Linked DNA regions of Tamandua tetradactyla. The protein of the gene in region 1 binds, or shares a complex with, the protein of each later gene. Links are inferred from orthologs where the notes say so. Each region holds a gene or a part of one and is shown on either strand. Other genes may lie near its edges.

Region 1 (16,308 bases):
GGGTGGGGGGAATCACTCCCTCTCCAGTATGTGTGCCAAGCTCACTTGGGAGGATAGCAGTGGGAACCAGGGCTGGCCATGGGTCCCCTACTCTTTCCCCTGGAGTATGCCCTGGAAAATGGTAACAATGATTTAAAGAAAAAAAAAAGTATTTTGAATTTAATGCTTGGCTTTTATTTTTTTTATCATGTTGAGTGCATGGGTTCAACTTGTCTGTGCTCTTCCTTCCCCGTCAATCTACGACACATCCTATATAGTGGCTCCTCTGAGGGGGCCTTTTCCCTCCTTTGCCCTAAAGCTGAATCACCAACTTTCCAGCTTAGTGTGACACTGGTTTAATGACAATGGGTCTCTACATTTTGCTCTAGCTTTAAGCCTATTCTTAACCAGAGGAAATAGAATTTGGAGGAAAGTATGAGGTGTGACTACATTACCTGCATCTCTAATCATGAATAGCAAGAGGCAGGGCTTATGTATAAAGCAACATCAGGCAGAGGAACTGCTTATGTAACTAGGACAGCAGATTTAGCAGGAGCAAGGAAGCAGCGGCTGGGGATGGGAGCAGTGAGCTGTCGGCGGGGGCAACATGCCCAGGTGGCTACTCTTCACAAGGTAGGCTGTGGAGCTGTGGTAGCCTATTGAGGGGAGTTGAAAGAGAAAGAAGCATAGACTTGAGGCTTGGAAAATGCCTGGTTAGGAATGTTTGCAGTGATACCCAACATGGGGGTATGGTGGGGAGGCTACCCTGTGAAACATCCCAGACCCATACTGAGAAGTACCCTCTATCCCTGATGCCTCTTGGGGAAAATATCTAATGATTGCTTTCCTAGAGGATTTGAATTGTGTCTGGCAAACCCAAGCCTTGGTCCAAAGCAAGGGTATAGTTTTGCCTGATGCTCTAAAGTGTACCTCTAGGGGCTGGGACATGAGTGGAGGGAGTCCCTGTCAAGATGGACAGACCCTGTAATGTCTCAGGCAGAAGATTTAGCCTGGCTCCTTGGTTCTCAGCAGGGTGGCAACATTCAGGGCCCCTGGGCCCGAGGCTGGAAGAGCCTCTGGTCAGGTGTGGAGACTACCAGGTCAAGTTTGGAAGAGCTATGGGGACTTCAAAGGCATCAATGCTTGCATCTGGAGCCCCTGGAGCCAGCACCATTGCTGGTAGAGAAGCCTCTGTTTGAGTGGCCAGTGCCTCAATTCATCAATCTCTTTCTGCCGGAGTTTCCCATTAGGCCTCTGAGGGGGAAGCAGCAGCTGAAGGTAGGCCATTAGAATCACTGAAAGGGGCCTTAGTCTTGGGGAGAAATCTAGAAACTTGGCCAGTCTCAACTTCTCTGTTCTCCATTTCTCTGTGCAGATTCTAGGGCTTGTGGCCAAAGGCTCCTTTGGCATTGTCCTCAAGGTGCTAGAATGTGGCCAGAAAGCTTTATTTGCTGTGAAGGTAGGAGCCTAGCTCTTTCACTTTGTTCCCTAGACCCTGCCCCCAGTCTTGGTTCCTGAGAGAGTGGAAAGTAAACAATTCGGTAACATTGTTCCTCTTTAGGAGTCATCATTTCTCTTTTTATAGGTGATATCCAAGGTAAAAGTCCTACAAGGGGACACCCTGAGGCAGTGCAAAGAGGAAGTTAGCATTCAGGTATGCATAGAGCCCTGAAAGGATCCTGGGAAATGTTAAAGCATGTTTCTTAGCCAATTTTCTTGCTCTTTCCAGTTCTGTTCCCTCTGCTTCTAACCTAGTTTAACGTCACAGCAAATCTTGGGGAAAGTAGTTGTTAGCACAGCTGTTCCAGGTCATGCCAGGGAAACCTTTCTAGTGTGTCCCACTGTGTCCCTTAATATTAAGATGGTCTCAGGATTACCAGGCAGGCCCGATTATTGAATTCCTCTGATCTGATTGGTAAGGCAGCAGCTTCCTTTTTGCATAAGTAGGTGAGCCTGTCTTCTTGGCTGTGTTCATCCTCAGTGATCCTATGTTTCTCTAATTTCCTGTTATTTTTGTCTCTAGCGACAGATCAACCATCCTTTTGTACATGGTTTGGGGGACAGCTGGCAGGGGAAAATGCACCTCTTCATTAGTGAGTGATTGGTCTCCTCATCCCCAAGGGTCCTTCTACCATACTTCTCCACCTTCCAGTTGGGATTACCCATCCCTTTAACTTGTTCTGCCTTTGTTCCCTTTCTCTTATCACCTCTATCCCAGAGGGAGAGAGATTAGTAGGTGGCACCAGTTTGGGCAGGGGACCTATAATGCCTTGAGCCCAGGCACAGTAGGTTCCGAACACTGCCTAGACTTCTGGTGCTTTGCAGTGTGCAGCTACTGCAGCTCAGATCTATACTCCCTCTGGTCCACTGCTGGATGCTTTGATATGGCTTCCATCCGCCTTCTTGCTGCTGAGCTGGTCCTGGTGCTGTGTAAGTGAAATAGGAGTGGTACCGGAAATATGGAGGGAAAAATCAGGTGGTGGGCAGAGGGAAAAGAACTGATGCTAATTCGGTGGATCAAAGAATAGGGATAGGGGTGGGATGGGGGGCTACCAGGGAAATTAGAAAGGACAGGAGAGCTTTAGCACACCCTATGCTTACTGTCATCCACAGGCTATCTGCATGACTTGGGCATCATTCATCGAGATGTGAAGGTAGAGCTAGGTGCTTTTCCCCTTTGTCCGAGGAGGGGGCTCAGGAAGAGGTTCCAGCAGGGCCAAGAAAGGGTGGAAATCAAGTTGACCTTGGGGCTCTGTAGGTGCTAAGGATTTGGGAAAGGGTCCTACCAAGTATAAATTTGAATGCTGAGTAGGGCACCTTCTTCAGCTAGACGTATACATGATGAAAAAGGGTTGAAAGAGGATGAATAACTTCTCACCTGTGATTTTTCAGATGGAGAATATCCTTCTGGATGAACGAGGTAAGTCCTTTTCCTTCCCAAGCCCCAGGATAAAGTTACCTGGGTTTGGAAATAAGTAATGGCTGATGAGAGGTGGAACAGCATGGTGATGTTTGCTGCTTCTTTTATAGGCCATCTGAAACTGACAGACTTTGGTCTGTCCCGCCACCTGTCGCAGGGAGCCCGAGCCTATACTATTTGTGGAACTCTTCAATATATGGGTAAGAAAGAGGCTAAAGCTGGTGGGTAAGCACTGTAAAGAGAGCCAGAGGGTGTTAGTGACAAGTATCTTTCAAATCTGTAGCTCCAGAAGTCCTGAGTGGAGGGCCTTACAACCATGCTGCTGATTGGTGGTCCCTGGGTATCGTGCTTTTCTCTTTGGCAACTGGAAAGGTAAGAGAATGATAATGGTATTGGGCAGAAAAGACAGAAAACTTTGCCCTGAGGAGGACAAAGGAAAGACCTTTAGGAAATTTTGCCTTATTCCTACTAAGGAATGAAACCTCCTCACCCCTTAACTCAGTTCCCAGTGTCTGCAGAGAGAGATCATGTGGCTATGATGGCAAGTGTGACCCACTGTGTCTATGAGATACCAGCCTTTCTTAACGAGGGGCTTTCACTCCTGCTCCAAGAGGTAAGGATCAGCACTACCTTTGACTGTCTTTCTTGATTACCAAACCATTCACTTTCTCCTTTCCTTGTCATTTAAGTGGTATTTCCCCATCCCCGATTAGTTTTTTCTTGAAGGGGACTCCAATTTGATTAAGTCCCACCTCACTACTTGTTTTCTAACCAGTACTTCAAATTTCATTCCTGAGTTCTTAGTTCTGTGAATTCTGCCTGTTTCTCTCAAATCTCCTCCTCCTATAGAGCAGGCCAAGTCCCTTCCAAGAGAATGGGCCAATGATGCTTTCTCACTGTCTGAAAACTCACAAATACAGTTCCTTTATTCCCTCCTTTGCCCCCAGATAGCCTGTTTCTCCTTCTTTTACAGTCTATTCTTTAGGGTTCTTCTTCCTGCCTTCCATAGTTCCTTGGGCTTCTTTCTCCTTTCTTTTCCATCTTCTCTGTTCAGCCCCATGATATCACAGTCCTTCATCCTCATGCTCTATTTCTCTTCAGCTCTTATGCCAGAACCCTCTCCGCCGTCTACGATATTTGCATCACTTTCAGGTCCACCCTTTCTTTCGGGGTATGGCCTTTGACCCAGAACTCCTACAGAAGCAGCCGGTGAACTTTGTCATGGAGGCGCAAGCTAACCAGCCCAGTCTATCGGAGTCCATGCATTTTAAGGATTTTGACTGTGACCTGAAGTCCTTTCTGATCTACCCCAGCCCTGTTCGAGCCTCTCTACTATAGATGGGGGCCCAGCTGGGAACCTGAGAACTTTCTCCACTGCCAACTCAGTACCACCACCTCGATGATCCTGTTTGTTGTTATTTTGTAGCCCCTTACCGTTCTGTTCATCTAGGCTTTGGTCCAGAGTTAAAATCTTGGGCATTCTGTTACTGGTAGCCACAACTGGCCCTACCCCTTCCCCATTATAGATTCCACTTTTCAGTTCAACATTTCAGATCAGGGAAAGTGACTTTTTCCTTTTGCTTTATTTACTTCTCTAGTGCTCATACCCTGAAGCTTGCACCCAGAGGCTTCTTCTCCTTTTTCCTCTGTTTTTCTGCCATGTTTCCTTCCTTGAGCAATAATGATACTTCATGGATTCCTAAATTGCTATTAATGTGTTTAATAGACTTGTCAGAAGCAGCACAGATGTTTTCCAAAGGTCTCAAAAGTTGGCTTTCAGTCCTTAATATGCAGCTAAAGAATATTCTGTAGAGATTTAAGGCTAGTTTGTAAAAAAACTAATTTAAAATAAATTAAAAAGTGAACCTAAGACCCTGATGTAAGGAAGAAGAAAGGAACTGAAGCAGCGCTGAGTTAAATGTCTTCTCTAGGGGTAACTGGAAAAGCTATCCACATTTTTTCCTAAACAAAATCTTCTTGAAAGACAGTTCTTAAACTGATAATTTACCAAGAGATGTTTTATGAAAAGGCATGACACTAACCTTAAGATTTAAAGTTAGAGACATGCCAAAAGTACATTTTCCTTTAGTAAGGAAAATCATTTGGACCTTGAATTTGTATACATTTCTGGCCTTTATGACTTTTCATTTTCCTTAAACTAACTTTTTAAAAGTTACATTTTTGTTCTTAGATCTGAGGAAAAATATGCTTTAATCTAGACCATATTATCCTTTAGTTGTATCTGATATCTTCAGATCTAAAAGAGTCTGGAGAGCACCTTGTATATTTTTATTTATTAATTCCATCCTTGGATTAGGCCATATTTTCCCTGTACATAGTTGGCATTTTATTGGCCTCTGAAAAATTGCTTTTTCTGAATTGCACTTTGGCATGGTGCCTCCTGTATTCATTGAAGGTTGTCTTAAAGAAAGTCCCTATGAAACTTAATTGCTGTGCATAATGTAAAGGACAGTTATCATTAAAATTCATAGTGTTCTATCTGAGGATGCATGGGAGAAATTTTTTCTGGTGATAGTTGTGCTTTTCCAGAATTGCTATTTGGTTTTCACCTTAAATACCCTGAAATTATTCAATTTATTGTATTTTTCTCTTTGTACAAGATGCTAGACCACGTAGAACCTAATTTGTGGCCCACCTCCAGCTAGTGTTTAGGACTTCATGTTGTGCATTTTGTGTGTTAGCCACATTCTTGGCTCCATCTTCCTTTTCTACCTTTTCCTTAACCTTTTTCTAAGTTTTAATCTTTTGATCTTACTATATTACTTGCGTCTTTGTAAGCTTTTTTGGAATAAGGTTGGGATATAAATAAATAAAAGAATGTATCCTTAATCCTTTTGATTATCTCATTTGTTTCTCTTTGGACCCTTTTCTAGCATTATTACATTAAAAAAAAAGTAGTAGTGAGCAGAACTGTACATTGAAAAAAAAACCCTGAATACTAAAAATAGGAATGATTTCCAAAGTAAAAACATTATGTTGAAATTCAGACCTGGTGCCCGGATCCACCAAATACTAACTCAGTGTTTTTAGACAAGTCATTTTAACCACTCTAGATCTTAGTTTCCTGGTGTATAAAATGAAGGGGTTACAATCTGTGGTTCTGAATTGTGGGGAATGAGTTTCAGATTTGTGTAACATTTTCTCAAAGGGCAGATGCAGAGATCTGATGCTATGCAATACTATGTGTCTGGCCTACTGTTAATGTTCAGGTTGCCCAGCAATATACTGGCCTTTCTGCTTACAGTAGCATAATGGGTTAGTCTTTAGGAAATGGTTAGCATAATGTCACTAGAGTCCTTTTCCTAAGCCATATTAGATAACTTAGAGACCAAGATCATATAAGTGTAATTTAAATCATTTCTTCTCAAATGATCACATTTCCAACCTTCTCTTTAATTAGCTGTTCACTACAGCAGTGTTTTGCAGGGTAGAGTGGAGAGGTTGATAGAGAATCAAAAGTTTCAGAAAGTATCACTGCCCCATCCTCCTTCCCGAACTCTGATATGCTCATCCCTAGAGGACATTTTCTCTTCCCCACCTCCCACCTCATTCAGAATAACTAACCTACAAATGTTACACCCTTTAATTATTCATATGATATTCACTTAAAAAAAAAACACCTTATATATACAACTTTTCTAATCACCTAAGTTTATTCCTATGCTTTGCTTTTCATTACCTAGGGAAGACAGGAAATACACTTATAAACACGGATATCTCACTCTATATTCCTCTCTTTTATAAGAATTTAAGATTAGTCCTAACAACCAATCTTATATATTCTTCTAGAAAAGTATTTGTGGAGTGCTACTCATTGTTTCAAATCACTAACCTAAGTTCCTTTATCATATATTGATCTGTTCATTTGTTTGTTTGTTCACTGATTTAACAAACTGGTACTCTCAATTCCTTTGTTACTTCTTTAAGGAGTCTTCAATGTAGAATCCTGTCAAGCATTTTTTTTAATTAAATAAAATCACATTCACTGGTTCACTTTTATGAAAATGCATTATTAACCTCTGTGAAGAGTTCTAATGTATTAATCAGGAATGATTTTTTAATTTACAGAAAAGCATACTACCTTTTTCCCTAGGTCAATTTTGTTTTATTCTGAGAACATACTCATCATTTCAGATTTCACTGGCCTCATCATGAATTTGTTGTTTATGGGGTCCCAGTGACTAGCAGTGGCACACTGCTTCCTTTGTTCAGTTCTCCATCGTATTCAGCAGCAGGGCTAATAATTCCACAATTTCATCCTTGAATTCACTCAGAACTGCCTGGTAGGTATTCCTCAAGGTAGCTGATTTGTTCAACAAAATAAGAAATCTCTAATTCAAAAATTAAAAATCTGTAACTTAAATTGAACACCTATCTCATATCACATGCAAAAGTTAACTCCAGATAGATTAAAGCCTTAAATGTGATACATTAAAACAATCTTAGAAAATGATCATGATGATGAATATATAACTATGTGATGATATTGTAAATTACTGATTATATATGTAGAATGGAATGATCATCTGGTAAGAATGTTTGTGTTTGTATGTTGGTACATTTAATAAATAAAATAAATTTAAAAAAATATCTTAGAACAACTGGGGGACTAGAACTACAATCAAGGGATGAATGAGATACCTAAATCAAGACAGAGAATAAAAAAACTGTAATTAAAGACATATTTAACCACATAAAAATGTAAAATCTTTCTATGGTCAAAGATACCATTAATAAAATCAACAGACAAACAATAGACAAAAATATATTCGTAATATGATGATAAAGAGCTACTGTCTTTAACAGAACTCTTACAAATGGGAAAGGAAAATGAAATAATCTATTTTTAAAAAGGGAAAAGGTATATGAAGTGAGAAGTCAATGCAAATATCAGTTGACTTAGAAGGCTTTCTACAAAACCTTGAGTGAGAAGAAAATGCAAACAAAAAATTACTTCATTTTTATAAAGGACTCAATGTATGTATGCATGTGCATGCGCTAGTACATTCATGAAAAAGTATTAAGAGAGAAAGAGAACAAGAATTTGGGAGACAGAAGTAATGCAAGTGGGAAAATAAGAGGAAAAATATAATAAAGGTTTACACTAGGCCTCAATCCCAAAGACTCATCAATTAAAATTCTGTATGTGTGATTGTGCAAAAAGAAATTATAAAGCACTAGAGCTACATTTACTGACATAGGAATATCTAGGATTAATTGTTAAAAGCAATTTACAGAGTCAAGTGTATAGTTTGATTCTCCTTCAACAGACTCACAAGAAGCCCCCTGTATATGTGCGTGTGTATGTTGGTGTAAATTTGTGTATGTTTGTGTAGAGGAGGGTAAAATGGACAGGAGAGGCTTTTTCTTTAATACATCTTTGCATTATATTATTTTACTTGCTATAATCTATTTTTTTAATAAAATAAAAACCAACAAATCAAAAAAATATTATGCAAAATAACTTCAACAAACTAATTCTGTTTATATTATCTATTATTCCCAATGGCATTTTCTTTTTCATCTACTCCATACATATTCCTCCTGATTTACTGCTGGAAGTACTACATCACTTTGGCTACAGCTGACATCTGACACACTGGCTGCAACAAGGAATAGCATTCCAATTCACACCTTTTTAAATTTAAATTTCTCCTGGCACTTAAGAATTTTCTGTCTTGGTTTTTCTGCCACTTCCCACCCTTGTCTTATTTGCTGCATCAATATTAACTAGAAGTGTGCCTTGGAATTGAGCCTTGGGCAATCCCAGGCTCAACTTAGTCTTCTTATATTGTCTTTTCCAAACTTCCCATTCAAGCAACTAAGACTGTTATGTTTCTAGAGCAGTGCTGTCCAGTAGAAACAAAATGAAAGCCATATAAGTAATTATAAATTTGCTAATAGCCACATTAAAAAAGCAAAAAGAAACGTGAGGGTGGCCACGGTGGCTGAGCAGGCAGAATTTTCCCCTGCCGTGCGGAGACCAGGAATCGATTCCCGGTGCCTGACCATGCAAAAAAAAAAAAAAAAAAAAACCAAAGAAACGTGAAACTAATTTAATCTATTTTATTTAACCCAACATTAAAAAAAAAAAATCGTTCCAACACGTAATCAATATTTTAAAATGAGACCAGTATTTATTTTATACCTATAGCACATCTCAATTTGGACTAGCCACTTGTGAAGTGCTTAATAGCCACATATGGTAGTGGCTACGTATTGGACAACATAGTTCTAGAGAAGCCCATCCCCTAAAAGCCCTGCAGTTCATAATTGTTCCTCCTCCTTGCCTTTTCCAAACTCGTTAAGATTTCTAGAATGTAAATAAGGTGCTGTGAGTGTTCAAAGGAACATACACTCTATCATAAACCTGCCTTTATGCTGTTTTCGAAAAGTTGATTCCACCTTCAACGGATAAATCTCCCCTACACACAGGATTTAAGTGGCAGGAGAACGTAGTAGTGGATTGTGTGGGTTGGAATCTTGGTTCTGCCATTTACTATCTGAGGGACTTCGTGCAAATTACATTGTCTCTCTATGACTCAGTTCTTTCATCTATAAACGGGGATATTTATAGTACTTCACAGGCCCTTAAGAGGACTAAATGAGCTAATAAAGCACTTTGGAACAGCGCCAGGCAAATAAGAAATGTTCAATACATGTTTCAGTAAACTTGTCTCAGGCCTTAAGTCCCAAGAAAAGACCAGAAATCCTGAAGAGGCATTACCGCCGCCCGGGGGCTGCAGACTGGTTGGGAACTGCGTCTCAGGCCATCGCGGATATGGGACCCACGTGCAAGACCTCCAGATCTAAGTGAAACGCACTCTTCCACTCACCTCGGCCTTCCTGACTCCCCGGCCGGCTCATTTCCTGTCAGGTCTGAAGCGGTACCTGAGGAGAGCCTTCCCAAGACCAGGCCTCGAGGCAACCTTCCTGACAAGGTGTGAAGGTGGTCCATTGGAAGGAAGCAGGAGGGATGGACATCCTGACTCTCCAGATACCTGCGGCGCCCTCCCTCACCTGAAAGCTCAGGACCTGCAGCGAGCCTGTCGCGTCCTGCCTGCCAACGCCTGCGCCTCGCGGTCGCTCGAGGAGAGTGAGCGAACCCCGTGGCAGGCGCGGGAGGCGTGCGACCCCCCCCCGGCCCCGCCCACCCGTCGCCCGCCGGCGCGAGTCCGGAACAGACGCGGCGGCCTGACGCACCTCGGCAGCCAATCGGGAAGCGTGGGGCAAGTTCAAATAAAGACGGCGGGTGAAGATGGCGGCTCCCCTCGGGTCTAGCAGGTAGTCGACTTGCCCTCTACCCCAAAGATGTGGCGAGCGAAAAAACTGAGCCTCAGCCTGTCGCCTTCACCCCAGCGGGTAAGCGGGAGAGCCTCGCGGAGAAAGGGATCTGGGGCGGGGGCGCTGGCAGTGCCGAGTGTCTTGGAAAGCTGGGTGGAGGCTGGGCCGGGGTCCGTAAGGAACCTTGTTCCGTCTGGCCTCTTCAGCGCTACTGAAGCCCGAACCTATTTTTCTCATCGTCTCAGGGGCCTCTAAGGGAAGGAGAACGGCCAGCCCAGGGCTGGATTCTTCACTCTCGCTCTCTTCTCTTTCCCAGGGAAAACCAGCTATGAGAACGCCCCTCCGAGAACTTATCCTGCAGCCTGATGCCCACACAAATTCTGGAAAAGGGCCCGCTATATGCTCCTCGCTGACCCCATCACTGTGCAAGCTGGGGCTGCAGGTGAGAGTCGCCCGGCTTTTCTACTGGGCACTTTGCCCAGGTCCAGAGCTCAAAGGAACAGAGGGCCAGGGCTGGAACGTAATTAATAACGATAATGAAGTCTTTTACCTCAGTAACATCCATTTACAGTTATTCAGGCCAACAGAGAGGTACCCGAGGTTGGTTAAAGGAAATCCACTGAGAGCCCAAACCTCTATTTAGCTGTTAGTTTTTATCATCCACTCAGCCTGTATTAAACTGCTGAGAAATACTATCACTGATCGGTTGGCTCCTTCTTACATTGGCTCAGTAAGGGAGAGGTCGATCTGTTACAGCTGTGAGTCAATATCCATCCACTCCATGAGGTAGTCCAAACTTTACTGGGGTCATGGGAGGCTGGGTATATCACTCTTAATATGGACCACCTTAGTTTAGTCTCTTGGAGCTGTGACCGCTAAATTCTGCGTTTGTCAAAGATTTTGAGAGAGGCAGCGGTATAGAAACTGTCAGATTAAGAAGTTGACCCCGGTCTGTAAGGTTCCTCACAGAAATTTCTTTTAGAACTTATCACCTGGAAAAATGGTCTTCCTGTTCTTGTCTTTTTCTACTGATAATGAGACCCATGTAGTTTCTCATATTTTTCCTCATCCTCTGGCTTCTAAGAAGCTCGGGATCATACTTGATGACCAGGTATAGCTACACTTACTTCCTGAAATTGGAAGATTTGCTTCTTCTTTCTTTTTTGTCTAAGACTTCATATCTTTTTCATGCAGTCTGAATTATTTTTGGAAGGAGATGGGATATAAATAGGTTTAAGAGTAGAAGAATATATAAAAACAGATAATACCCTGAGTAACAAGTTTGAGGATAGCAGTTTTTCTTGAAAGAGTTCCAACACTTATCATCCAATAGAACTTTCTGTGATGATGGAAATGTTTGACAATCTATGCTGTCCAGCTTGATAGCTGCTAGTCACTTGAAATGTGGATAGTGGAACTGGAAAACTGAATTTTTTATTACATTTGAATTTAAATATCCACATGTGGTTAGTGGCACGCATATTGGATAGTACAGCTTAAGAAAGAAAATAAGAAATACTAAGTGGGAACTGATGTCCATAGAGATTATAGAATGTAACCATAGCCCTTTAATCACAGTAATAGAAAAGACTAGAATTTGTGTCTCCTGCCCCTCCTAACTAGAGAGTTTGCCCATTCACCTTCACCATCTCATAATATAGTCAACTATACTAACAAAAAGGGATTTTTCCCCTACAAAATAACTATTATTTTTATTTTATAAATTTTGATTATTTGTAATAATGCATGTTCATTGTTTGAAACATGAACAATATTAAAAATAAGAAAATACTTTCCCACTGATTTAGATACCTCATTGATATATTTGAAAATCTTTTCATTTATCTCTGTGTGTGTCTGTTTTTGTATGTATTTACATAAATGCACATCCATGTATTATAACACTTTTTTTTAATCAAGGCACTTTTTTTCCCCAAAATGCAATATTTTTCTCCCTTCTTCCTTCCCTTCCCTCCTCCCTTTTTTCCTTCTGCTTAGCTCTACTTTTCCTTTCTTTTGCTGGTCCTGTGGAGTCAGTACTTCCAAAACATGCCTTGCTTTTCCCAAGCCATTTAACAACCTGCTGTGTATCCTTCTGTATTTTTCTCTGTTCTTTTAATAATATGCAAACATACATAGTTATTTTCATGATAGAATCATATTATATACTTTTTTTGCTCTTTGCTTTTTTCATTTAACAATGTGGGTGGAAGTCACTGTAAGTCAACTTTGTAGAACTAATTCATAGCGTACCATGGTATGTATAAATCACAATTTATTCATTAATGGATATTTATTTTTCTGTGTTTTTTTTTCTACAAACAATCCTGGCGTAAATATCTTTGTACATGTATTAGGTACTGATGCTTTATTTTTATTATTAATTTTTAATTTTTTTTTAAATGTAACAACAAACAGACATTCTTAACATATGATCATTCCATTCTACATATATAATCAGTAATTCACAATATCATCACATAGTTGCATATTTCTCATCATGATCATTTCTTAGAATATTTGCATCAATTCAGAAAAAGAAATAAAAAGACAGAAAAAAATTCATACATGCCATATCCCTTACCACTCCCTTTCATTGATCACTAGCATTTCAATCTACTAAATTTATTTTAACATTTGTTCCCCCTATTATTTATCTTTATGCTGTATGTTTTACTTGTCTGTTGATAAGATAGATAAAAGAAGCATCAGACACAAGGTTTTCACAATCACAGTCACATTGGGAAAGCTATATCATTATACAATCATCTTCAAGAAACATGGCTACTGGAACACAGCTCTACATTTTCAGGCAGTTCCCTCCAGCCTCTCCCTTACATCTTGACTAACAAGGTGATATCTATTTAATGCGTGAGAATAACCTCCAGGATAACGTGACTCTGTTTGGAATCTCTCAGCCATTGACACTTTATTTTGTCTCATTTTGCTCTTTCCCCTTTTGGTCAAGAAGGTTTTCCCAATCCCTTGATGCTGAGTCCCAGCTAATTCTAGGATTTCTGTCCCATGTTGCCAGGAAGGTCTACACCCCTGGGAGTTATGTCCCACATACACAGGGGGAGGGTGGTGAGTTTGCTTGTTGTGTTGGCTGGAGGGAGAGGCCACAACTGAGCAACGAAAGAGGTTTTCTTGGAGGTTACTCTTAGGCCTAATTTTAAGTAGGGTTGACCTAACCTTTGTGGGGTTAAGTTTCATATGAACAAACCCCAAGATTGGGGACCCAGCCTATTGCCTTGGTTGTCCCCACTGCTTGTGAGAATATCAAGAATTCTGCGCTGCGGGAAGTTGAATTTTCCCCCTTTTTCACCATTCCCCTAAGGAGACTTTGCAAATACTTTTTTACTCATTGTTCAAATCACGCTGGGATTTATAAGGGCATCACTCTGGACAAACCTACAAAATCTTATGCCCTACCATGTACTTATGGTGTTCAGTGAAGCTGTCCACATAAGTTATATTAGGAACTGCACTAGTCAAAATATAAATTTTGGTACTGATGCTTTTGTTTCTATGAAATAGATTCTCAGGAATAGAATTGTTGGGTTAAAGTATATGTGTATTTTTAATTTTAATAAGTTATGCCAGATTGCTATCTAAAATTCATTTTCTCCAGCAATATATGAGGGTTTCCATTTCCCCACAACATCTCCAGCAGTAGGTGTTAGAGAGCTTTTAAATTTCAGCTAGTCTAATTGATACACAGTGATATTTCATTGTTACCTTAATTTACATTTTCCTGACTATTAGTGAGTATATCTTTTATATATTTGTTGGTTATTTGGATTTGCTCTTTTGTGATCTGCTAATTTATATTATTTGCTCATCTTTCTGTGGGGTTATTAATCTTCTCAATCATTTTACAAGTTTTTTTTAATATTATAATTATCTTTCATCATTGCTTTCTAGTTAGTTTATAATTTTCTTTTAGTTGTTTTCTTTAATCCAAGGGTTATCTAGGAATAGTTCTTAATTTCCAGGAGTTTAAAGACCTTTTCTGTCAGCTTTTCTTTGTGGCCAAGTACAGGATGAATTCTTCTAAAGGTTCCATGGATCTATGAAACAAGTAAATTTAATGTTCAAAGGATGCTGTAGTCTGTTTATATTTGCCAATAGATCGTTAATTACTCTGTCCTTACATGTTTTTTTAGCCTACCAGCTCTGTCATATTTTAGGAGAGGGTTTTAAAGTAATTTTTAAAGATAAATAGAAGTTGATAGATGCAGCAAAAACTTTTTTAAAATTGTGCTTTGGCACTTCTAAAAGTATATTTTATTTACATTTTTTTTGTGTGTATGTATTTTTGCTTCGTATATTTAGTTTCTAAACTGTATAGTTCATATCAGTTTATGTTTTTAATATCATATATCTTTATGTCTTTTATCATAATAATGCTATAACCTTAATTTATACCTTGTCTGATATTGCTGCCTCTGCTCTCTTTGATGTTAGGTATCTCTTTGCCAATCTCTTTATTTTCTACTTCGTTTTAGCACTTAAAAAAAGAAAAGTTTTAAAAATTGAAATAAAATACATAAAACATAACCACTTGACCAGTTAGTACAAAGCACACACCCCTATAACCAACATCCATGTCGATAAATAGAACATTGCCAGAATATCGGAATCCTGTCTCATGACAACCCCATCTCCCCCCACAAATAACCACTTTTCTGACTATTTTGGTAAATACTTTTTTTCTTTGTAGTTTTACTGCCTTTGTAACTCAAAATGGTTTGGTCTGTTTTTAAATGCCATATATGTGATATATATTCTGTCTGGCTTCTTTAGCTCTCTCTCATATTTTAAGTATCCACTGCTATAAATGAGAAATTTCATGAAAGTATTTTTTTTTCCTTGTAAATAATTGGTCTTTCTAGCTAAAGCTTCTAAAATAGTTTTTTCCTTATAGTTCAGAAATGTTACCATTATGTGTCTAAGTTGACAGAAAAGGTCTTTAAACTCCTGGATATTAAGAACTATTCCTAGATAACCCTTGGATTAAAGAAAACAACTAAAAGAAAATTATAAACTAACTAGAAAGCAATGATGAAAGATAATTATAATATTAAAAAAAACTTGTAAAATGACTGAGAAGATTAATAACCCCACAGAAAGATGAGCAAATAATATAAATTAGCAGATCACGAAAGAGCAAATCCAAATAACCAACAAATATATAAAAGATATACTCACTAATAGTCAGGAAAATGTAAATTAAGGTAACAGTGAAATACCACTGTGTATCAATTAGACTAGCTGAAATTTAAAAGCTCTCTAACACCTACTGCTGGAGATATGGGGAAATGGAAACCCTCATATATTGCTGGAGAAAATGAATTTTAGATAGCAATCTGGTATAACTTTTTTTTTTCTTGTCAATCCTGCTTGAAACATGGTAAGCCATTTTATTGTACAGACTTGCCTCTTTACCTTTGGGAAATTTTCTAATATTTGTTTTATCAGTGCCTCACCTACATGTGTTCTCTTTTCCTGGAACTTCTTTTATTCACGTTAGACTTCCTGAATTTATCCCCCAATTCCCTTAACTTTTTCCTCAGATTTACATTTGTTTGTATTTTTGTCTTTAACTTATTTCTTCTTTGTGCTCTTCCAGGCCAATAATTCTTGTCTCAACTCTGGTCATCCTCTCTTTCAATTCATTATACTGAAGTTTTTAGTTTAACAGTGATGTTTTTTATTTCCAGAAAGTCATTTTTTGTGTGTACTGTATTTGAATTTTCTGTTTTTTGTTAGGGTCTATCTTTCTAACTATCTTAGCATTCCTTCTAACCTTGGCTGCTGGATTCATAATTCACAATAGTGTGTTACTATTTTCCTTTTCTTGCTTATTGGGTTTGAGGTCCAGCCAGTAGCAGTAATCCTGCTAGTTGTAGAAGGTGCAATGTCCCTGTGAACCAGCAATAGGGAGGTTGTCAGTCCTTTGTCAAGACACCAGGAGGAAGTCTTTCTGCTCTTCAGTCTCCTCTGCTACAAAGACTAAAGCTTTTCAAGTCTCAAGGGTTGAATATATTCAAACTATATTGTTTGGGATGCTGTCACCCCTGGTGGGTCAAGGAGATTGAGCC
Region 2 (15,535 bases), on another chromosome or scaffold:
GACTATATTGGGTTTCCCTTGTACATGATGGATTGCTTTTTTCTTGCTGCTTTCAAGATTCTCTCTTTCTCTTTGACCTCTGACATTCTGATTAGTAAATGTCTTGGAGTATGTCTGTTTGGATCTACTCTCTTTGGGGTATGCTGCACTTCTTGGATCTGTCATTTTAAGTCTTTCAGAAGAGTTGGGAAATTTTCAGTGATAATTTCCTCCATTAATTTTTCTCCTCCTTTTCCCTTCTCTTCTCCTTCTGGGACACCCACAACACGTATATTCATGTGCTTCATATTGTCATTCAATTCCCTGAGTCCCTGCTCATATTTTTCCATTTTTTTCCTTACATTTTCTTTTTCTTGCCAGATTGCAGATGTTCCGCCCTCCAGTTCATTAATCCTGTGTTCTGTCTCTTGAAATCTACCATTGTAGGTTTCCATTGTTTTTTTAATCTTTTCTACCGTGCCTTTCATTTCCATAAGTTCTGTGATTTGTTTTTTCAGACTTTCGATTTCTTCTTTTTGTTCATTCCTTGCCTTCTTTATATCCTCCCTCAATTCATTCATTTGGTTTTTGATGAGGTTTTCCATGTCTGTTCGTATATTCTGAATTAATTGTTTCAGCTCTTGTATCTCATTTGAATTGTTGGTTTGTTCCTTTGACTGGGCCATATCTTCAATTTTTCTAGTGTGATTTGTTATTTTTGCTGGCATCTAGGCATTTAATTACCTTAATTAGTTTATTCTGGAGATTTTTTGCACTTCTTTTACCTAAGGTTTTCTTGCTGTATGTATTTTTTGTCTATCTGTTCTTTGACATTCAGTTCAGTTTTATGTGGACCTCTAGCTCAAGTTTTGTTTAACAGAGGAGAATTTTTCAGTTCTTGTTTTCTTGTTTCTTGCCCTGCTTGTATGGTGCCTTTTTCCCCCCACACTTAGGAGGGTCTACTTAGGTATTATAGACCCCAGCCAGACTTTCCCAGACCAAACTGGTCTCCTATCAGGAGGAAGGAGTCACCTGCATCGGTTTTCCCTGAGGGTGAGACCCAGCAGATTGATAGACTTTCCTGTGAAGTCTCTGGGCTCTGTTTTTCTTATCCTGCCCAGTATGTGGTGCTTGTCTGCCTGCAGGTCCCACCAGCATAAGATGATGCGGTACTTTTAACTTTGGCAGACTCTCCCTGCTGGGGGTGTAGTGGAGACAGAGGAGAGGTTGTAGGATGGTTTTAATGGCTTCAAATTGCCAAGCCCTGGTGTCTGAATTCCTTGAGGGAGGGATTCCACCTGAGTTGTGCTTCACCCCTCCCCTGGGGAAGGCACAGGCTCCAGACAAGCCCTCAAATGAGCTTGTTTCTGCCTATGCCTGGGGCAGTTGCAGCCTGGGAAGCCCTGCAGCTGTGTCTAAAGGTAGTCAAGCCTGTTTAGAAACACAGCCACAAAAACCTGTGTTTCCTTCTGTTTTTTTTCTTTTTCCGTCAGCCCTGCCCCCTTGGCGCCGGGGCAAAAATGAGCAACCTCTGCTTTGACCAGATTTACCTGAGTTGGGGGTCTATTTTTAGTAGTCAGAATTTGTTCATTAATTCCACAATTGGCGTTTGGTTGGGCTCAGCCCCTGCTGCTGGTAAAGTCTCTTTCCTTTCCTCTTTGGGAAGCAGTCTATGGAGGAGAGGTGCTGGCCGCCATGGCTTGTGTAACTCATGGTTCTGGGGGGTCTCGCAGCCGGTCCAGCCAGTCCAGACTGGGGTATGCTGTGTGTCCAGTCACTGACATGGCCCCAGGAGCTGTTCTGAACTGTTTCTGGTTATTTAGTAGTTGTTCTGGAGGATGAACTAAAATGCGCACATTGTTAAGCTGCCATCTTGGCCTGGAACTCAGCTACCACTCCTGTTTATTCTTAAGAACACCTAGGGCTTGAACTGAGACTTTATAAAAATTTCATGAACTAAGTTTATTTTCCTGAATCTTTTAACCTCCAGAGGGTTCCTAGGCCAAATAAATCCTGAAACCCAGAGGGACCAGCCTCTCCAAGATTATCAACTAATTACATCCCCCTATCCTTATCAACATGAAAACGTCAGACTAGCATTGCCCAAACATGCCTATAGATTGGGAGAAGGATCAAAGAGAAAGGAGGAGTTATAACAAAGAAAATAGGATTTAACAAATGAGTATGATTGCTGAATCACTATATTGATATTTCTTCTAGCTTCCAATGTTTTGGAGCAGCTAGAAGGAAAAATCTGAAATAGTGGAATCGTAAGTCATAACAAACTCTGAAATCTGTTCTGTAATTATTTGTTGAAGTGTACTTTGAAAATTATTGCTTTTTCTTTCTTTTCTTTGTATATAGTTATATTTTACAATAAAAGACATTTTTAAATGGCCAAATAGCACATCAGAAAAAATGCCCAACATCATTAGCTATTAGGGAAATGCAAATCAAAACAAAATACCATTTCATGCTGAATAGAATGGCTACTCTAAAAAAAAATTAAAAGTACTGGAGAGGATGCAGAGAAATAGGAACACTCACTCATTGTTAGTGGGAATGTAAAATGGTACAGTCACTGTGGAGGACAGTTTGAAAGTTCCTCAGAAAGTTAAACATAGAATTACCATATACTATTACTTCTAAGTATATACCAAAAATAATTAAAAGCAGGAACTCAAACATACATATAGATATAGATATAGTATAGATATAGATATAGATATAGATATAGATATAGATATAGATAGATATAGATATAGATGTGTGTGTGTTGTTGTTGCTTTGCAGAGGGGTTGGGGGGAGTGTCCATGGGCTGGAAATCAAACCTGTATCTCCTACATGGCAAGCAAGAATTCTACCACTGACCTACTCATGCAAATGCACATTTGCACACTGATGTTCATAGCAGGATTATTTACAATTGCCAAGAGATGGAAGCGACCCAAGTTTCCATCAACTGATGAATGGATAAACAAAATAAGTTATATACAAACAATGGAATATTATTCAGCTGTAAGAAGGAATGAAGACCTGATGTGTACAACAACATGGAGGAATCTTGAGGACATTATGTTGAGTGAAAAATGCCAGACACAAAAGGACAAATATGGTATGAGCTCACTGAAATGAACTAAATGAAGTGAGCAAACTCATGGAGTTAATATCTAGAATATGGGTTCCCAGAAGTTAGAAGGAGGGTAGAGAACGGGAAACATGAGCTTAATTTGTGCAGAATTTTTTTAACAAGGTTGATTGTAACCGTTTGGAAATGGATAGTGGTAATGATATTTTATTATCATGTGTGTAATTAACAGTGTTAAATCGTGCATGTGAGTGTGGTTGAAAGGGGAAGTTTAAGGTTGGCTTTATCACTAGAAGGAAAGCTAGAGAATGAAACAAGGGACTGCATAACATAGTGACAGAGGTGATTAATGGTACAAATATAAGACGTTATCCCATGAACTAGAACAAATTGATATCACTATTACAAGGTGTAATAATAGGGAGGTATATGGGGGAAAATACACCTAATGCAAACTATGGACTATGTTAACAGTCATATTTTAATGTTCTTCCATCAATTGTAACAAATGTACACATTAATGTTAAATGTCAACAATAGCAGGGTGTAAGGGGTATTGTTTTTTTTCTCTTTAGGAGCAATGAAAATGTTCTAAAATTGATTGTGGTGACAAAAGCACAGCTCTCTGAGATTATACTGAGGACCAACGATTGTACACTTTGGATGGATTGTATAGTGGGTGAATAAAAGTGTTTTTTTTTTTTTAAAAATGTTACATATACATACAAGAGAATATTATTCAGTCATAAAATGGAATGAAGTTCTGATATATGCAACAATCTGGCTGAACGCTGAAGACATCAAGTTGCGTGAAATAAGCCAGAGACAAAAGGACAGATATTGTACGATCTCACTGATATTAAATAATTAGAATAAACAAATTCATAGAGTCAGAATCTAGCATACAGGTCACCAGGGGCCAGGTTGGGCATAAGGAATGGGGAGTTAATGCTTAAAATGTACAGTTACTTTGTAACATTTTGGTAATGGATGGTGGTTATGGTAGCACAACATTGGGAGTGTAATTAACAGCATTGAATTGTGTATGTTTTTAATTTTTCCTTTTTTTTAAATTTTAGGTTATATATATGTTACTGGAATAAAAAGAAAGAAAGAAAAAACAGAGGACTGTACAACACAGTGACCTCTACTGTAAATGGTGGATTCTAGTTAATAGTACAATTATAAAAATGCAAGGTGTTAATATTAGGGTGGTTTATGGAAACTGCATTTTGCGTATTTTATGCATTAAAACTTCTCTAATAAAAAAGGGTTAGACACTGAATGAAGCTGCATGTGAGGTATAGGTTTTTTGTTTTTGTTTTTTTTGTTTTTTTTTTTCTTTCTAATATTGTTTTAATTCTTATTCTGTTGTCTTTTGATTTCTTTTTCTAAATCGATGCAAATGTACTAAGAAATGATGAATATGCAACTATGTGATGTTAGTAAGAATTACTGATTGTACATGTAGATTGGAATGATTTCTAATTGTTTTGTTAATTCTTTTTTTAATTAATAATAAAAAAAAAGGGTTAGAGCATACACTGCTTCTAAAATTATTTTGGGGGGGGTACATGTACAAAAGAGTTTGAAGATGCTTCTCTAGATCTCCTTTTCCCCTTTCTCCAAGACTTTGCTGTTTGTTCAACCTCTCTCCCTCCTGAAGCACAGTTTTCTTCCTCTCAGTTAGCTCACTTCCATCAGAACAGGTATCCAACAATATCTCCATCTTCAAGAAAACCATTCCTTGACCCACAACCCACCTCCAGCTACTGCCCAATTGTTCTACTCTGTTCACAGACACCCTCTAGAGTCTACACCTACCTATTTTATTTCACCTCTCACCTATTCTTCAACCCATGCCAATGTAATTTTCATTCCAACCCCGCCACCAGAATTTCCCTTGCTGTAATCATCATGACTTCTACATTGCTACATTAAATAGATCTCTTTTAATCCTCATTCTGCTTGCCCTTTCAGATGCTTTCAACAGTTTACCATTACTTCCTTCTTGACTTCTGGGACACCATCTGTTTGAGTTTCCCTGATGCTAAAACAAATACCACACAATGGGTTGGCTTAACAACAGGAATTTACAGGCTCAGGGTTTCAGAGGCTAGAAGGCTTGCTTCCTCCCAAAGCCAGTATCTTCTGCTGACTGGCAGTCTTTAGGATTCCTTGGCTTTTCTGTCACATAGCAACAAACATGGCAGCATCTTCTTTTTCTTAGAGGTTCTATTGACTTCCAGCTTCTTGCTTCTCCTGTGGCTTCTCTTTCTGTGTCCAATTTCCTTTGCTTATAGGGACTTCAGCTGCATTGGATTAAAGCGCACCTCATTCAGGTGGGGTACACCTTAACTAATAACATCTTCAAAGGTCCTATTTACAAATGGATTCACACTCACAGAACCACAGCTTGAGACTTGAATATGCCAATACTTTTGCTGAGACGTGATCCAACGCCCAATACTTCCTTAATTTTCTTCACTTTCTCATATTTCTTGGCAGGCCCCACCTTACAACTGCAACTTCTAAATGCTGGGTATCCCTGTCCTTGGCTCCACATGATCTCACCCAATAACACAGCTTTAAATACATCCACATACCAACGACTCCCATGAACATATGTCCAATTCATCCTCTCCTCTTGGCTCAATGCCTGTATTGACAATTGCCTATTTGACAGCTCCAACTGATGGTCTCAAAGGTATTTCAAGTTTACCATATTCAAAACTGAACCATCTCCTCCCAATACAACCTGCAGACTCCTGCTCCTGTGATTCCATCTCAGGAAATGATCTCTATCCACACAATTACTCAAGCTTCTCCTTCACCCCCTACACGCAACTTATCAGCAAGTTCTGAGATCCTACTTCCGAAAGCATCTTAAACGTGTCTGCTTCTCTCCATCTCCACTACTGACCACCCCCATCAAGACCCAGTCACCTTCACCGCTCACAAGTGATTGCAGTCACTTCCCAAACGCCTCTCAGGTGTCACTCTTGCTGCCTCCAACCCACTCTCAAGGGAGTAGCCAGAGTGTGCTTCTTAAAATATAAATCAAATGATACTCTCCTGCTATAATGATTCAACAGCTTCACATTACTTTTAAGATAGAATCTAATCTCTTTTCCAAGGCCTTCAAGTTTTGACCCAGGTTTCTCCTTACCATTCTCTTCCCATCTTTCAGTTTCTGCAAGAAAAAAAAAAAAAACCCATACTCACCTTGGGCCTTGCATCTCTTTCCCTCTGGTTCCTCCTTCCAGAAATTAAATATCAGAGAGTTTTCCCTGGCCCTCCAATTAAAACTAGTTTCTCCTGCTATTCTCTCATAGCACTTTTTATTTTTCCTTCATAGTTTTGCCAAAATTGGTAGATATGTATTTATTTGTGTGATTGTTTACTGTCTCCTGCACTAGATTGTAAACTCAAGGAGGCAGAGGCAAGATCAGTCTTGATCTTTGTTGTCCTCCATCCTATACTTTATAGAGTGTCTGGCATATAGCAGGTGTTCAATATTTATTGGATGAAATTTTTGGTGTTTTTAGTGCTTCAAAACTCTGCTCTGCTCATTGGGAGTAGCCTTGAGTCTCTGCTTAAAATCTGTATAAATACTATTAAGTTCGGACTGCTAGTAGGTGTCTCAGGTATTTCAGCCCACTGGTCGCCTTCTCCAATCCCCACCCACGACAATCCATCCTGTAATGTGTTGTTTTCTGCCCGTTCACATAACCTGTGTCCCCGCAATTGGGCATCATGCAACACCCCTAACAAACACAGACCAAATAATGAAAAGGATTGTGACAACCTGGATTCTGAACGTACACTTTTGCATCCCAAGCCCTGAATATGACGCCTGTGGCTTATCAACGCCATTGGGGCCTGCAAAGTGCAGCCTGCCCACACCTGCAGCCTCCAAAATCCACCGCTAGGAACCTCAGGTTTCCACCTCCAGCCGTACAGTATGGCTGCTCCTGAAGCCATCGCCCAGGATAAAGTCTTCCGTACAACATGGCTGCCTGCAGAAGGTGACCCACTCCCCCGCCCACCCAGTCACCGGAAGTTTCCATTTGAAACCGAGGCGGCAGACGCGACAAGCGGTGTGGCGGTTGCTCCGCATCATCTTTTAAAGGAGACCCGCGCGGACGCCGGGCGGGAGCAGACGGCGTTTAGGTTCGACTATCCTGGGGCTGGGAACTGGACTCAATGTGGAGGGCAGACGGGGTGGCCTGGAAATGGAAAATATTCCCTTTTCCGACCCTTCCGTGGAGGCTGAGCAGGTCGGATCCCGCCTTTCGGGGGTTCTCCGCCTGCTGGCCAAGCGCAGCGTCACTTTAACCTTGCCCCTTCCAGAGTCCAGCCGTTTCGCCTTGTAAGAATGACCAGCATAGTGAAGACAGTATGCACTCTTCAGGCCCCCTCTGTGCTGGGGGGCGGCCTACCTTCAGGTGGGTGGAGCCGGCAGTGCGGATGGGGCGGGAATCAGATTGGTGGCGGGGAATGCGGGGCGCGGGGCAAATGAGGGCGTTCCGTGGGCCCTCGCAGCGTGTTAGCGTCCCTTGAGCCAGTCTGTCTAGTTTATGTCTAGGGAGTTAGGGGAAAGACCAAGAGAGGGCTCTTTAGACCTGCCCTGCCGTTCCTCACACCTCATTGTGCTGCGTTCCACCAATTAGATTCAAGCTGCTGGTTATTCTACAGTTATCCCTCTAAAATAGGGGATAACCAGTTATTGGTTTTATTTCCAGGCTTGGGGCTGTTTTGAGGATATGGGTTTGTTACCAGGGAGAAGGTAGGGGGGTCATTTGGTAAGTGGGATACTTAGGGGGAGAACATTAGGTTGTTTGCATCATGTCTTGTTCACGTATCTGTACAGTGTCTCCCATATAGTACGCTCTCAGTAAGTGTTTGTTGAGCGAGCTAGGGGAGGTCAGGCTTAGCCAAAGTATTTTGAGAAGAAAGAGATATGATTAGGAGAAGAAAGATACGATTAAAAATATAATTTTTTATTGCTTTGCCGTTTGCTTTCTTACGTTGCGGGTGGTTGAAAGTCATTGCATAAGAGCTGCAGCTGTCCAGCTGCCTAATCTAGAGACTGTAGCACAGAATAAATTTCAGACACCAGAAAACTGTTGTGGTAGATTGTGATGCAGCTATTTATGATCCTTTCCCAGATGACCCCGTGCGTCTGGTTGATGAGCAGTAATAGAATTGGGCTGTGAAGTAAATAGGTTTTTCTCCAAAGGCTTAAAAGGGTTGGTCTGTTTGTCTCATCTTGCATCAGAACCCCTCCACGGTAATAGCAGCATCAGCAAGGCCTAAGGGGTTCCTGGAGGAACAGAAGCAGGTCTCTATATGCAAATCTGCTGTCTTTCCTCTGGAAAACCCTGTGCCTGCTTCAGCAGCTAGTAACTGGCTCTCCTCAGCCAAGGTGGAAGTTTTCATCTCTTTGCTTTTTTCCCTTTTGGGTTGTATGATCAGACATAACCTCAATAGTTTAAAATTTTAAGCTGTCTGCCAGTTTTTTGTTTGTTTCAGTGTCAAGCATGGGTTGGTTTGGTTTTTATAGCTTTTCATATACACACGTTGTTAAAAATTAAAAATAAAAGTTACGAAGCCTTATGCTTTCCCTTCCTGGACACCAGCCATCCAGTTCCCCTCTTAGTTTCTTACATTTTAAGGACACAGTCTTTAGTCCTGCTAATTTTTTTCTACTGTGCATTCCTTAGGTTCTATGAAATATGGGTTTTTAAAAACCGATTCCGTTCAATAGACGGTGTTAATTTTAACCATTTACTGTTAGCGCCTTTTTACATGGGATAGATTTGTTACCATATATAACATTAATACTCGAGCATGGAGATTACCTTTTACCACAGACCCCTCAAAAATAATCCTCTTAATATTTATTTTGTGGGTAAGAGTATCTAAATAGAGAGCAAAGGTGCCCAGTAAGTGTACCTCTGAATGGAATAATCTGTTAACCTGAAAAGTCATATTCATCCCAATCCCTTCCAGGGCTTTGTGCCTTATTTCTTCAACTGATTTGATTTAATTGTTATGGTTCTTAACAGGTCAAGCTTCAGGGAGTCATTGTAGAGTGAACAAAGTGAAAAGTTTAAGCTAGGAAAGCCTCTGTGCTATGTATTGTGTGTAAGGGGGCTGGGGTAGGGGGCAGATGGTGGGGAGGGGAGGAGTGCTTAACTCCAGAATAAGCAACTGGAATTTATCATGGAAGACAAATGGTAGACCATTTATGGGGGAGGATTGGCACTTGAGCTAGGGGAGAAATGTTCTCTTTGCGGGGAGGAAAGTGGCATGGCAGGGCCACAGTCTAGCAACAAGATCGGAATAGAATGCCAGCTGGGCAACCTCTAAACTTTATGGAGGATATGCAGATAAAAAGGACCTGAGGTAGAGCCAGTCACCATGGAAGACAGAAGAGAAACCTAGAGTTTAGAAATGAAGATCTGTGAAACAACCCGTGAAGCTGGGAAGTTTTATTCAGCAAACAGGTATTGAACATCTGACAAAATGCCAGATATTCTGCTAGCTGCTGGGGAAATAAAGACATCTTTATTTGTTGAGATTGGTCAGATTTGAATCTCTGAGATTTGAAATTGAGATTGGTCAGAATGGTGATAACAACTTGGAATAAAGATATGTTTGTTATAGGGTTGCCATTGTTAAGTCATGCCTCTTGGAGTTCCACCCTCTTATTTTCCTTTGCAGACATTCAAACTCAAGCCGTTTCTAAGAGTCTGTTACCTGTTAAGTCCAAAGATGTAGACATTTCCAAACTTCTTCCTTCAGGAAGTTCAGAGAACGATGGTACAAAAATCATCAAACAGAGACGAGAGAATGGGTGAGAGTCAGATCATTAGTATACAGTTAAAATATCTGGTTAAAAATTGATTGGGGGCAGTGCAACAGTGGCTCAGTGGCAGAATGCTCGCCTGCCATGCTGGAGACCTGGGTTCGATTCCCAGAGCCTACCCATGACCCCCCCCCCCAAAAAAAAATTGATTGGTACCAAGAATTAGAAAATAGGTTTTAGATGCACGAGGCACCTGAACAGTTGGCCTGTGGTCAGTGGCCCAAAGCAGTACAGCATTGAGCCCTAGTGTCATGTGGTGCTTTCAGTTCTCTCTGTAAAGTCAACATGAGATGGCATCTTGAGCAGGAGCAGATTGATCAGGTTGTTGGGATGGTCAGGGAAGAGGAGCCCATTCCCTTTTTTTTTTTTTTTCATTTTTAAACATTTTCTTGTTTTATTGTATTCTGTTTCTCCGTTTTTGTTACATGGGCTGGGGCCGGGAATCGAACCGAGGTCCTCCGGCATAGCAGGCAAGCACTTTGCCCGCTGAGCCACCGCGGCCCGCCCCCCATTCCCTTTTGATAAGCTATTTTTGATAGTCTGGTAAAACAAAAGGGCATGGGCCTTCAGAGCTTTGCAAACGTGTGCTATTTGCAGGGAATGTAATCTCTGATCCTCTCATAGAAAGTCAGACTTTTTGTTCTGCCTTGTTCGCAGCACAGCAAGTGCTGTAATCACTTTCTTTGGTTTTGCTTTTTAGGCAGACGAAAGCTGCAGACGCTGCCATCAGGAAGAACATTAAAAAAAGGTGAGCTTCAGGGTAAATGAAACTAGACAGTGTTTAAGAAAACAGGTCTCTCATTCATGGCACATGTTTGTGTTATGGTTTGGGTACCACCCCAGAAGCCTGAAAGGAATTTTCAGAGATGAGGCTCAGCAGATTTGAGAATCACTGTCACAAAAAGAGTCTATAATGGTGCCTGCCATTTTGAGTATCAGACAGGAGCTTATTGGACTACTGCTGATGGGAAATCGAAGCCAGCTATGGCCCATAAACAGAAGTGCTGCTATATGATGAAGCCAGGATTCAAGCCCCTGTTTGTGTGACTCCAGGGTCTATACTATTAATCCTGCTACCTCTTCACATAAGTACATTTATTACAGCTATAAACCATGGAGTAAGCAGAAATCAGAGGAAGAACTCAAGGATAAAAACCAGCTCTTAGAGGCCGTCAATAAGCAGTTGCACCTAAAGTTGACTGAAACTCAGGTAAGAGACCCACCAGACCTCTGCCGTCAGCTGCCATGAGGGAGGTGAATGTGGAATCTGCAGGAATGGCCCCTTGGGTGGGAGCAAGCTTATAATGCCCAGGTCCCCAAGGGCAGAAATAGAAGATGCTAGGCGTGTGCTGTGGCTGTCCAAGAGTGAGACCTGATCTGTCTGCATGACGTCCCAACAGGGAGAGCTGAAGGATCTGACCCAGAAGGTAGAACTGCTGGAGAAGTTTCAGGACAACTGTTTGGCAATTTTGGAGAGTAAGGGCATCAACCCAGGTGAGAGACCACACACAACTGCCTTCAAAGGAATCAGTGCACTGTGCTCCTTCCCAGGTCAACTCTAGTCCATCCGGAGTCCCCTGTGGCATTAACTGGCCCCGTCAGTGCTAATGTGGCTTAACTAAGCCCTAAAGATTTTAGAATTTCTTTTTGTTCAGCTGTTTTCACCTTCATGTGATATTGATTTTACCTGATAGCTCCAGATGGTTGTGGAGAGAGAGTCTTGTTTCTTCCTTATGTTAATACTTTGTACCGTTCATTTGATGCCAAGCATGACTTTGCAAATATACCAGGAAACATTTTGTTGTTTTTAAGGGAGAGTGTGTCCTGTTGTCTTTCCCAGATCAAAAGAGAGACATAATTCCCTTTCAGGGTTTCCTAAGTCTGGTTATTCATCAGAATCACTGTGGTTAAAATGTGGTCCCTCTTCCAGTCCTGTCCCTGGAGAACAGGGTCTGTAGTGAAGAAGCAGGTGGAAAAAAAGACTTGCCCAGAGTCTAAGACAGGGCTCGGATTAACAAGCCTAGGAAGGCCCAAGGAAAGGGCACATGCGTCTTTGAATTAAGAAATGCTGATTTTGAGTAATACTAATGATCTTTAGATCACATTTTAGTAAAATATATATATATATATTTTGGGGGTGGTAGGGAAGTACAGAGTCTGGAAAAGTATATATTCTTTATAGTTAACAAATATGCTTGTTGTGGTTATAGTTACCAGGAAATATTTGTATTGTAAGCAAAACAAAAGATCCAGCCTGTACCTTTCCTGCGGAAAAATTCCAGCCTTTTTCACTAAGATAAGGAGAAAGCAGAAAGAATTTTTGTCTATATCCAAACCTAGACAGGAAGGAGATAGATTGTAGCTCTAGAGGGCAGGTGTGAGAGACCCTGTCAAGGTGTAGACTCAGGGGAGAGAGTCAGGGATCAGATGTTTAGAGAAGTTTCTTTAATATATACTCCTGTATTTGTCCCTGGAGGGGTTTTCGTTTTCTTTTGTTAAAGGTGCAGTTCCCTAAATGAAGCTGATTTTCTTTTATCATCAGTTTTAGGCAGCGAAACACTGGCATCGCAGCAGGAATACACTACAGATCACAAGGATTCTATGGTGAGGGCATGGGTGTGAATGGGTGGACAAGTGACCATGGGGCTCTGAAAAATCTGATGCAGTCTCTAGTCTGTGCTTAATAAACCCCAAGAAGCGGCCTTTGGTTACCCATGATAGAAGAGAGCAGTAGGATGTGAACTCTTAAAATAGCCTGTTTTACTTGGAAGGTGGCTTTGAGTCTGAGTTGAAAGTGTATATATAATGAGATGGACCTGAATAGAGAGCTTTCTAGTGTCTCTATTCTGTACATCACCAAATTTCTCCCTTTATTCCCTTGTCTAGAAGTATATGATGCAAAGGTCCAGGGGGAAGTTAAATTTGGGTTCTTTGGCTTCTTTTTTATTCCTTCCCTAAAGTAGGAAGATAATTGCTTGGGCTTAAAGTCTTGAGCCTTTTTGATCTCTGCATCCAGAGTGATTAGTTGTTGTCTTAGAATCGTAATACTAGGTCTGGAAGCCTTCCCCAGCTCTCCCAGGCTTCCGTGGTGACTGTATTTTGATCATATTGTCTGTGTAGCACAGAACACATTATAGTGCAATAACCTGGCTAGTCCTGTCTACTGAGTTCCTCAAGGAGGCAGGATACAGTGCCTGGTAGGTGGGGTAGACAAAGTATTGAATGAATGAAAGGGACTTTAGGGATCATCGAATTCAACTCCCATTTTATATGAAGAGGTTAGGTAAACATTTTCATGTCCCAGTAGAGATTTGTTGCTACCTTGTACTTTCTTCCCCTTAGTTGCTGTTGGAAACTTTACAAGATGAGCTGAAGCTTTTTAATGAAACAGCCAAAAAGCAGATGGAGGAGTTACAGGTGAAAGCAGACATGTCCCTCAGAGACATAATTACTGTTTCCTATCATAATATGTAAATTTGTAGAGGACTCTGTTCATTTTTAATAGAAACTTTAATTTGGAATAATTTTAGATGTACAGAAGAGTTGCAAAGATAGTGCAGAAAATTCAATTCCCCTGTGTTAGCATCTTATATTAACAGGTACTTTGTCAAAACTGAGAAACCAATACTGAAGCTAGTTTACTATTAACTAAATTACAGACTTTATTTGAACTAAATTACAGTTTTTCAACTAATTTCCTTTTTCTGTTCTGGAGGACTCCTTAGAGATGTTCACAATGCATGAAGCATTGTGTAACACACTGGGTTGTTCAAAGTTGAGATTTGGGTCCTAAATAAAAGCTATGCTGGGGAATTGTGATAGTATGTTTCTCAAAGAGGAAGGTCCTATATTCAGAAACCCAGAAACTTGGGTCTGGGCTGCTTTGGACTGTTTAGGAATCATTGGCTATTGTGTTGAACCCTGCTAGATTTCATTGCTCCAGGTTAGATGTAGGAGTCTATAGTGTAGAGGGACAGGTCCCAAAAAGAACATAGATAAACAAATCTAAGATGGAAAATGCCTTGTTTATTACTATTACTCTTCCTCACTGGGATAGATACGTAATGTTCTGGTGTGTTTAGTGTCTTTTCTGTGAGAAAAGAGGACTTGTTGTTTTTTACCTTTTTGAATGTCTTTCCATGCAGGCCTTAAAAGTAAAGTTGAAGATGAAAGATGAAGAAAGGATACGGTTCCTCGAACAGCAAACTATATATAACAGTCAAGTAAATGATTTTACAACAGTCCTTGAGGAAATGGAACAGCTCTTAGAAATGTGATTAAAAAGGAAGTGGCCAGATGGTTCCCTCTTGGGGATAAAGTCTCAGAGGAAGCCCCCTAGGAAACCTTGGCTCTGATTTTCTAGGACTCAACATCCCCTGATGAAAACTCCTTCTGCAGTAGAATTAAGGTGGAATGGAAGCTACTTCTTTCAGTAGTGTCCCCAACCTTCAGATTGGTCAGCTCTCCTGAGGCTCACACATAAATAATGGAGGCCTACCAAAGAGGGACCTAGAGGCTTTGATCAACCTCCTAAACAACAAAACAGCACACCTTTAGAATCGGGAGCTAAACTAGCCACAGCTAGAGGATCTAAAAGAAGACATTCAGATTTGTGGGAACAAAGCCCAATTATACAGTGGAGCACAGGTTGCTTGCAGCAGACACCAAGGAGCCATGCTGCCCCCTTCTAATTTGGAGTACATTCTGTCCCATCCTGTTGGTCTTCCATACCTCATTATGAACATACGAACTTGAAGTTGCTTGAAATGGTTTGGCTTAATAAATGGGTTGAAGGTATGGGTGGTAATAACACCTACAATACACCTTGGAGCTTTTAATCTAAATTACTTCTGGTTTTTAACAAGTGCTACTTTAAAATAAATATTTCCGTAAATATTCTGACTGTAATATTGGGAAATGAAGGTAGGCTTTTAACCTAAAAATGCCCACTGAACCCTATTGAACTAGTTAACAAGTTCAAAGCTTATTTAACCCAGAATATTTTCTTTCAGTTACTAAGGGTTCTTTGACTAGACCCCTGCTTCCAGGAGTTATAGAGGGTGTTCGCTATTTGTAACTCCACCAAGTTTGTACTTATTAGCTGCTTGTCTTTCCCTGTACAAGCATGGTTATGTCTCTGCTGTGCACAGGGTTAATCCTGGATTGCCTGCCCCCCCCCCAACACACACACCGAATCATGATCATTTTTAGAACATTTGCTTCACTCCAAAAAGAGAAAAAGCTCATACCCCTTACCCCCCCTTTCATTGACCACTAGTATTGCATTCTACCCAATTTTTTATGCCTTACCCCCAGACCCTATTTTCCTTGGTCGTTTAAAATATATATATTTTTTTATTGAGAAATCTTCACACACATAACATTCCATACATGGTGTACAAACAGTGGCTCACAATATCATCATAGTTGTGTATTCATCACCATGATCGTTTAGAACATTTGCATCACTTCAGAAAAAGAAAAAAACTTGCACATACCATACCCCTTACCCTCCCTCTCATTGACCATTAGTATTTCCATCTACCCAATTTATTTTATCCTGTTATTTTTTATCCATTTTTTTTTACTCATCT

Evidence for each region.
Region 2: SPAG5 (region 1) and KNSTRN share a complex: the UniProt entries of both Homo sapiens proteins name them as parts of the astrin (SPAG5)-kinastrin (SKAP) complex. The link is inferred for Tamandua tetradactyla from reciprocal best matches to the Homo sapiens genes SPAG5 and KNSTRN.

Annotation. Positions count from the first base shown.
Region 1 is NC_135332.1:51,824,058-51,840,365, reverse strand, and holds the start of SPAG5 (sperm-associated antigen 5), read left to right. Parts: upstream 1-10,104; 5' UTR 10,105-10,231; coding exon 10,232-10,282; intron 10,283-10,520; coding exon 10,521-10,646; intron 10,647-16,308. Other genes in the region: RSKR (ribosomal protein S6 kinase-related protein), read left to right, coding at 472-612, 1,009-1,257, 1,355-1,438, 1,565-1,633, 2,003-2,072, 2,305-2,409, 2,593-2,633, 2,872-2,899 and 4 more. UniProt on the Homo sapiens protein: Essential component of the mitotic spindle required for normal chromosome segregation and progression into anaphase. Required for chromosome alignment, normal timing of sister chromatid segregation, and maintenance of spindle pole architecture.
Region 2 is NC_135340.1:53,612,128-53,627,662, forward strand, and holds KNSTRN (small kinetochore-associated protein), read left to right. Parts: upstream 1-6,912; 5' UTR 6,913-7,031; coding exon 7,032-7,240; intron 7,241-7,420; coding exon 7,421-7,515; intron 7,516-9,796; coding exon 9,797-9,929; intron 9,930-10,641; coding exon 10,642-10,689; intron 10,690-11,045; coding exon 11,046-11,151; intron 11,152-11,341; coding exon 11,342-11,435; intron 11,436-12,483; coding exon 12,484-12,545; intron 12,546-13,283; coding exon 13,284-13,358; intron 13,359-14,086; coding exon 14,087-14,218; 3' UTR 14,219-14,697; downstream 14,698-15,535. UniProt on the Homo sapiens protein: Essential component of the mitotic spindle required for faithful chromosome segregation and progression into anaphase.